Linked DNA regions of Pelodiscus sinensis. The protein of the gene in region 1 purifies or fractionates together with the protein of each later gene. This does not show direct contact. Links are inferred from orthologs where the notes say so. Each region holds a gene or a part of one and is shown on either strand. Other genes may lie near its edges.

Evidence for each region. Proteins that work in one complex are often made in the same cells at the same time.
Region 2: the proteins of organic cation/carnitine transporter 2 (region 1) and YIPF3 purify together in Homo sapiens (co-immunoprecipitation; 3 studies listed by BioGRID and IntAct, counting the BioPlex papers as one, with this or other methods). This does not show direct contact. The link is inferred for Pelodiscus sinensis from reciprocal best matches to the Homo sapiens genes SLC22A5 and YIPF3.

What each region holds. Positions count from the first base shown.
Region 1 is NC_134727.1:25,339,809-25,343,551, forward strand, and holds the start of organic cation/carnitine transporter 2, read right to left. Parts: upstream 2,401-3,743; 5' UTR 2,245-2,400; coding exon 1,852-2,244; intron 1-1,851. UniProt on the Homo sapiens protein: Sodium-ion dependent, high affinity carnitine transporter. Involved in the active cellular uptake of carnitine. Transports one sodium ion with one molecule of carnitine.
Region 2 is NC_134713.1:139,252,963-139,256,705, reverse strand, and holds the start of YIPF3 (protein YIPF3), read left to right. Parts: upstream 1-1,268; 5' UTR 1,269-1,385; coding exon 1,386-1,469; intron 1,470-1,700; coding exon 1,701-1,901; intron 1,902-2,259; coding exon 2,260-2,366; intron 2,367-3,205; coding exon 3,206-3,251; intron 3,252-3,743. Other genes in the region: POLR1C (DNA-directed RNA polymerases I and III subunit RPAC1), read right to left, coding at 38-109, 824-892. UniProt on the Homo sapiens protein: Involved in the maintenance of the Golgi structure. May play a role in hematopoiesis.

The DNA of each region.
Region 1 (3,743 bases):
GATCTTTAAAAGCAATGTGATGCATCAGTGCTGGAAGGTGAAAATTGGTAGGATCAGCTGTAAAAATCATTTAAGCATCAGTCACTACCTATGCTCAATAACAGTTGTGAACAAAAAAAAAAAAAAAAAAAAAAAAAGGTTTTCCCTGTCTACACTGGCTGGTTCAGTGGTTGAAAAAATGTCATGGGCCTTTCATTTAAAAAAAAAATCTGATATGCCAAATTTAACACTGGGACAGCTATTAAGTCAAAATTTAAGTATGCTGGTTATATCAAAAGAGGCTCACACTTCCTTTGTTAACAGAAATCTTTTAGGCACTGCTGCAGAGAAGCACAATGGTACATATTGTTCCTGCTATTTATTTTTAAAGGGTTTCTTTCCATTTCCTCTTGCTTTCAGCAGGCAAAAAAATATCACAAGATCTTGACAAATTTACATATGATGTGCAGCATAAGAGACAGAAACTTTCACACTATCACTGTTCCTGCCTCATAGACACATTTCCAGCAACTTAGATAGAGATGATGTAACTTTTTTTTCAGTCTCTCCTTCTACACTAATCTCCTGTCTGGCTAATCTTCCTCATTTTCATGCATCTGAATTCTTGGCCTGTGTATTCTAATAATCCTAATTAAACTGTACACTCTCCACCACAAGCACTTTTGCATTCCAAATGTTTAAAACAGCACATACATTTATGACTATATATAAAGAGAAGTAGGCTGCAGAAGCCAAGCATGGATTCCTTTGCAGACATCTAGATATTCAATTAAAGAGATCATCAGCAAAAAGCAGCACAGACCTCTCTGTGCCAACCGGGTTGTTTCACTTGTAAATATCAATATTTTAAAAATATTAATATTTGATAGACATACCAGATTCACAAATGCATAAATCAGAAGTTTCACTTGATTTAATAAGACCAGCAAAAACTATGTCCTGGCATATATAAACAGTCTTTGTAATTTGATAGCACCCTGTGAAATAGAAAGTTGATTACTACAATACTGTATGTTTCTCTAGTCTAAACAAAAGCTCACTATTGTAATCATTTTAGTTTTCTCTGATATTTACATAGCAATGATGTGTTAACGAATAGAAATCTCTAAATAAACAAATAAATAAAATAAAGGTAATACATGCAGTGATCCGAACAATCAGAGAAAAGTCTGTTTCATGTCAAGAGGAAAAAGTGTAGGGCTGATGCAGTACAGTAAGCAACTCAAGATGAACAGGTCCCTCCAGCTAGCTGTGTGCCCAGTACTGGATACACACAGTCCCTCGAGCAGATCGCTAGGATTAAACATAGAAGGCAGGTGTACTCATGGCCATGCAATGCCTCCCCTCCTTCAAGCATACCTATTGTAACACACTAGGCAACTATGGGCCCACTTTTCCCCTTCTACCGAGCTTCAGGGCTCCCATCCGCAGCACAGCTCAAGCGAAACAAGCCCTGCAGCCAGCAGACACTAGCTCCCCCACTATGACAGAGGGACTGACATGCAGACTGCCCCGTGTCATGCGTCAGGGACCAGGAAGTAAAGCGCAGCCTCTCCTTGTCTTATCGCTCATCTGTGCATCAAACCAACAGATCATCCAGTTACTCCCGTACCCCTGGGGCACGACAAGCTAGTCTCCAGGGGTTACCGATACTCAGCCCCCCTGCCCCAGCCCCCTGAGTTCCTGCGCTGGCCCCACATTGCTGGTGCTCCCCTCCACCCCGTGTCCCCCAACATCCCTCCCAGCAGCTCCCCGCTTCTCGGCCCAAAGCCCTTCCCACATCTCCATCACCCCAGCAGCCTTCACGCCCCGCCTGCCTACTGCTCAGCGGGCCCCCCGGCCCGGGCGCACCTCGGTGACGATGGTGGAGAGGTAGAGCTCCCGGCTGTACTCCCAGCCGTCCAGGCACTTCTCCTGCTCCAGCTGACTCAGGTCCACGTCCCTGCCGGGCTGCAGCCCCAGCGCGGAGAAATTGGCCAGCGCGGCCAGGCGGTAGCGGCGGCACCTGCTGGGCCCCTCCCGGCCGCCCGGCACCTCGCGGGGGATGCTGGCGTCGAGCCACTCGCGGCTCAGGTTGGCGCCGGGGGGCAGGCGGCAGCGGTGCTCGGGGACGCCGGCCAGGAAGACGATGGAGAGCCCGGTGAAGCCATTGGGGACGATGCTGGCGCTGAGCAGGAAGAAGATGAGGCGCTGGAAGGGGCCCCACTCGCCCAGGAAGGCGGTGACCCCCTCGTAGTCCCGCATGGCGGGGGCGCAGCGGGCCTGTGGGCCCGGCGCTGAGGGAGGAGCGGCGGCGGCGACACGCGGCCCCTTCTGGCGCGCAGAGGGAGCTGCCGCAGCAGAGTCCCGAGCGCCGGCCGGGGTCGGGCCTGGCGGGAGGGGTGGGGCTTGTTGTCGCACGGCCCGGGCGGGACAGGTGGCGTAGCCGCTTCCCTGCTGCCAGGGCGGACGCCGGCGCGGAGGGCGTCTCCCCTCGCCGAGGCCTGACGCTGCCCATCCCGAGCGGGCGGCCGAGACCAGCTCGGCTCCCAGGCTCTCTCCCTGCGGCGGCCCCGAGCTGGGAGACGTTCGGCTTCCGTAGCCCCACGCCCCTGGGGGCGCCTCAGGCCCCGTGTCCGCAGAGGGAAGCCAGGCCGGGGCCCCAGGAATAACGCGGGCCAAGGATGAAACTGCCTGTCAGCGCGGAAGGGGAGCTAGCCGCCCCCGGGCTGGGCCCGGGTTAGGGGAGACAGCCCCAAGCCTGTCGAACTGCCATCTCTCCCCCGTTGAAAGGTCTGCACCTGATTCTCCCTCCCCCCTTGTCAGGCCCTTTGCCCCTGTGTAAAGTGAGGTCCTAATCTAGGGCCAACCAGCCTAGGGCCCTCCTTCCCTAGAGTCTAGTTTAAGACAGCGAGTAACAAGTAGGACGGTAGTGTCCAATATACTAGCCGCTAGCCACATTTAGCCAGTTGAGGGTGGCCAGTGGGCTTGAAACATGTGGCTAACTCACCACACTCAACCAGCCAACTAGGCACATTTGTCATGCCCCACTGTAACAACTACTGCTTCAGAACTGGTTGAACACCGGAGGAAGGATGAGTAGGTCAGACATCTCAAGACAATTTGCTGGCACCCTTCCCCCACTTTGAAATGCCATAGGTATTAGCAATGTTTTATTTAAAAAAAAAAAGTGCCAGTATTCCAGGGGGAAAGTTGTTGAGCAAAAAATCGCCCCAGGAAAAGGTGCCGGTACACCCGAAGGGAATGCAGTTCATTTCAGTTATGCAGGGAAAATATGCAGGGGCGTACTGTCACAAAAAAGAGCACTGGGTATTAGGGATATTAAAAAGCATTTAATAGGGTAACCGTGTAGCCACTAAAAATATTCAGTTATATGCACTGTGGGCTCTGCAGTATAAAGGTTAGCCTTGTTTATATTACAAAGCCCACAGTCTCCCTGGCAGCAGGGCCACCAGCCACTGCTGACCGGGCTTCTATAAATGAGGCTTTGCTGCAGTAGCAAAGCCATCTCACTAGGAGTGGAGCAGGTGGCCCATGCCTGCCCTATTCCTAGGGAGGCAGCTTCACTGCCCTGATGCAGCAAAGCTGCCTCCCCAGGAAGCCGGCTGAGTTTAACTGACACCCTTAATCAATAAGCATCAGCTTATCAGTTAAACAGTTGGTTAAGCTCTAATATGTATGGCTTTAACCAGGGCCATCCTTAGGAGTTATGGAGCCCTATGTAGTACTGATGGCAGCCCAGG
Region 2 (3,743 bases), on another chromosome or scaffold:
TTCTTCCCCCCATTAAGGGTCCCCAGTGGCTTCTTACCTGTTCGAACTTGGCTTGGTCCCAAGCGTCGTCATAGCCAGGGTAGTTGCCAGGAAAGTCCGTGGTGTGAACCTGGAGCAGAGGTGGGCAGTAATTTTTGGGGGTGGGCCACTTCATGAATGTTAGTCATGGGCTGGCTCAACCCCCCTCCGCCAGAAGGGGCAGGGCCTGGGGCAAAAGGGGAGACACTGGGGACTCGCCTCTCCCCGGAGTTGTCTGGGGCTGGAGGTTCTGAAGTAAAAACACCGCAAAGGGCTCGGGGCCCCGGCCCTGCTGCTACCACCACGTTGCCCGGCAGCCGCCCGGGCTTGCTGCGGCCATTGGAAAGGCTCGCGGCTCCGGCCCCTGCCGGGCAGTGCTGCGATCGGGAGTCCCGGGCGGCCGCCAGGCAACACGAAGCGGCAGGGCCGGGAGCTGCAGGCCCTTTAAACAGCGGCAACTTCAAGGGCTCCCGACGCTGCTGCTGCATTTGCCCGGCTACCGCATCTATTTAAAGGGCGCGCGGCTCCGGCCCCTGCCGGGGCAGCACCACAGCTCGTGAGCCCTTTGGACAGGAGCCTTCTGCCCGAGCCGCGCCTGGAAACGCGGGGTCAGGGCCACAGGGCGCGACTAGGAAGCGGCCAGACTCCCTCCCTGTCAGGGGGCCGCATCTTGCCAGCCCAGCCCCGAGCTGGAGCGAAGCAGGGGCCGCGTGCCAGGGGCAAACCGCCCCCAACCGCCGCTCACCAAGACCCGGGCGCGCGCCCGGCCCCCTCCTGCCTCGCGCGCGGCCCCCAACTCACTCACGTTGCGGACCCCGAACTCCCCCAGTATCACCCGGCTCCGCATCTCCTCCACGCCGCCGCGCGCCGCCATCTTCCTGGCGCGCCCCCAGCACGTGACACGGCCACAATCCGGCTCTTCTCTGCGCAGTCGCATTAGTGAATACCCACTGCCCTGTCACGTGATACGGACCTTTCCTTCCGCTTTGGCGGCGCCGGCGCCTTAGCCCGACTTGGTCTTCACCATATTGGGTGTGGCGTTGACCTAAGAAACAGCCACTACTGCTATCGCGGGGTTGTGGGTCTTCGCCGCTGGGTTGACGCTGTCTTGATAATAAGGCACCGCTCTCCCCAGACCCTTCTCCCAGAGGCGCCTTCATGCTCGCTCTTATGCCACAACCAAGATGGCGTCGAGACCTGGTCGCTAGTATGAGATCTCGCGAGAGCAAAGGCGCATCCACGTCCTCGGCCGAAGTTGCCGAGGCTTCTGACGTCAGTCACGTCAGTCTCCAGACTAGGCTCCCCGGAGCCCCTGCAGTGAGGCGCAGAGCGGCCGGGGGCCCCGGTGCCCCCAGCCAACGGGGAGGATGTCCGGGCCCGGGGGGGCGGCGGCGGGCGGCGGCAGGCCCGGGAGCGCCGCGGAATGGGGCGGCTTCGAGGACAATATGCAGGTGCGGGGCTGGGCAGGGAGGAGGGGGGAGCCGGGGGGGCCCTGCGGTTGTCAGCGGTGCGGGCCGCTGCTGTGCCCCCCCCCAACACAACACCCCCCCCCCGGCTCTGCGCTTCCCCGGCTTGGGAGCTAGGGTGGCGCCTGCCCTGCTGCGGGCGCCGCGGCGCTGGGACGGGCGCTCCCCGGCCCTGGCGCTGAGCCTGACTCCCCGACCCTTTGCCCTGGGGCGCAGGGAGGCGGCTCCGCTGTGATCGACATGGAGAACATGGACGACACGTCTGGCTCCAGCTTCGAGGACATGGGCGAGATGCACCAGCGCATGAAGGAGGAGGAGGAGGTGGATGCAGAAGCTGCTGCGGCAGACGAGGAGGATGGAGAGTTCCTGGGCATGAAGGGTTTTAAGGGACAGCTGGGCCGGCAAGTAGCTGACCAGGTGAGCAGAGCGCTGCAAGAGATGGGGGGCGGGCTGTGTTGCCTTCTTGTGTCTGGCTCTGACTGTAGTGAGCTATAGATGTTGAGTCCCATTTTAGGTCCAGGTAGCCATTTCCAATATGACCCTGAGCTATCTCACCTTTGGTTTCTGGGTGCTACAGCTTGAGTCCCATTCTGGGCTTGATGTCTTTTGTCCTACTTTCCCCTAGGCTTTGGATGGGATGCTGATCACTCCAAAGATGTTTAATTTTCATTCTGGTTATTTAGCCACTGGATGCTTTGGTTCCAGGAGATGCGCCTCAGAACGGCATTGCAAAGGGAATGTTTAGTCTGCTACAGTTACTGATTTCTCTCCCCAGATGTGGCAGGCAGGTAAGAGACAAGCGTCGAAGGCCTTCAATCTCTATGCCAACATTGATATTCTCAGACCTTACTTTGATGTGGAGCCCATCCAGGTTCGCAACAGGTGAGCAAACTAAGCACAGGGGCAAATGACTTAGGCCATGCAGTTATCTCAGTCTCGCATCCTCGTATGAGCAGCCCGGTCCACTACTATGGCCCCTTCATGGGGTACTGTGAAAGGCCTGTCATGTATTCCTGGTCCAGTATAACGGGGTAGAGATGCAACCTGAACAGGACAGAAGGGTCATGCCATAAAGTGAGGAGCATCTCCCACTGTTTCTCACATAATAAAGACCTGGATAGCTCCTAACTAATCCACGTCTGCTTATGGACTTGCTATGGAGATAGCCTTTGGGGGAAATTTGTCCAGGATCCTCCCTTGTTTACCCTTCATTATTCCTAAAGGGCTACCCTCAGTTCATCCTGAGATGCATGTTGTTTCATGTATAGCCTAGTGCTGCCATTCTAAGTGTAAGATACAGGGTTTGTGGAGCTGAACCAGCAGCTCCTTTAGCCTTTCATTGTTACTGCTCTTGCATACAGTGTGGGGAAAGGGCATACATAGCCCTACAAAACCTCATCTGTCCCACAAGTGCAACACTTTGCACATCTCCTTTATAATAGCCATGGTGTCACCCTGCTCTCGGGACACCAGGCAGAGAAAACTGTTTGTGCACAGGGGGATAGGATTGCAATACAAATCCTCTTCCCCTCTAAGGCACTGTTTCCAGTCTGGTGCCTGGCTGTTAGTGGGACTGGCTGGCTTTGTTGAGGGTCAGAGGGGAAGAGATATGGAGCTTTGTATCACTGATCAGGGAATGGAATACAGCATCTCCTGCTTCTTGGGTTTCTTGTTAACTTTTTCATTTCCTTCCTCACTCTTGATATTTCTGTGAGGTGCAGACTGCTGGAATCCATGATCCCCATGAAGATGATTAATTTTCCCCAGGTGAGTTCCACTGTGGAGAGCTTTTATTCTATATCCTGAGTAAATGCGCTTTAGAAAGTACAGGAGCACTTAATCGGTTGTTAAATATTTCTAACACACACATCTCTCTATCAGTAGGCTGCACACCTTTGCCTGAGGGGAGTTCAGAAATTCCAACCAGCACCAAGGGGACAATCGGGCCCTGCCCTCTACTCACATTCACCTCCAAGTTCAATGCTCTCTGAAACTGTCAGTTTGCTAAGGAATAAGCCTGTCAGCAAAGTGCTGCTGACACAGTGCTACAGACAGCTCTTGCTCACTTTGTCAAGAAGTGAATTACAGCTGTCTTGGGCCTGAAAGCAGGCTACCCTGGGCTCTGACTCAGACTCCTTTCATTTTGCCTTCCATTCTTTCTCTGCCCCCCTCTCCCAGAGTAGGGAATTAGTTAAAGCACTTTGCCATGCATGTGCCAGGGTGACTGATTATGTATGAATTGTGTGAGAGAGATGTTGT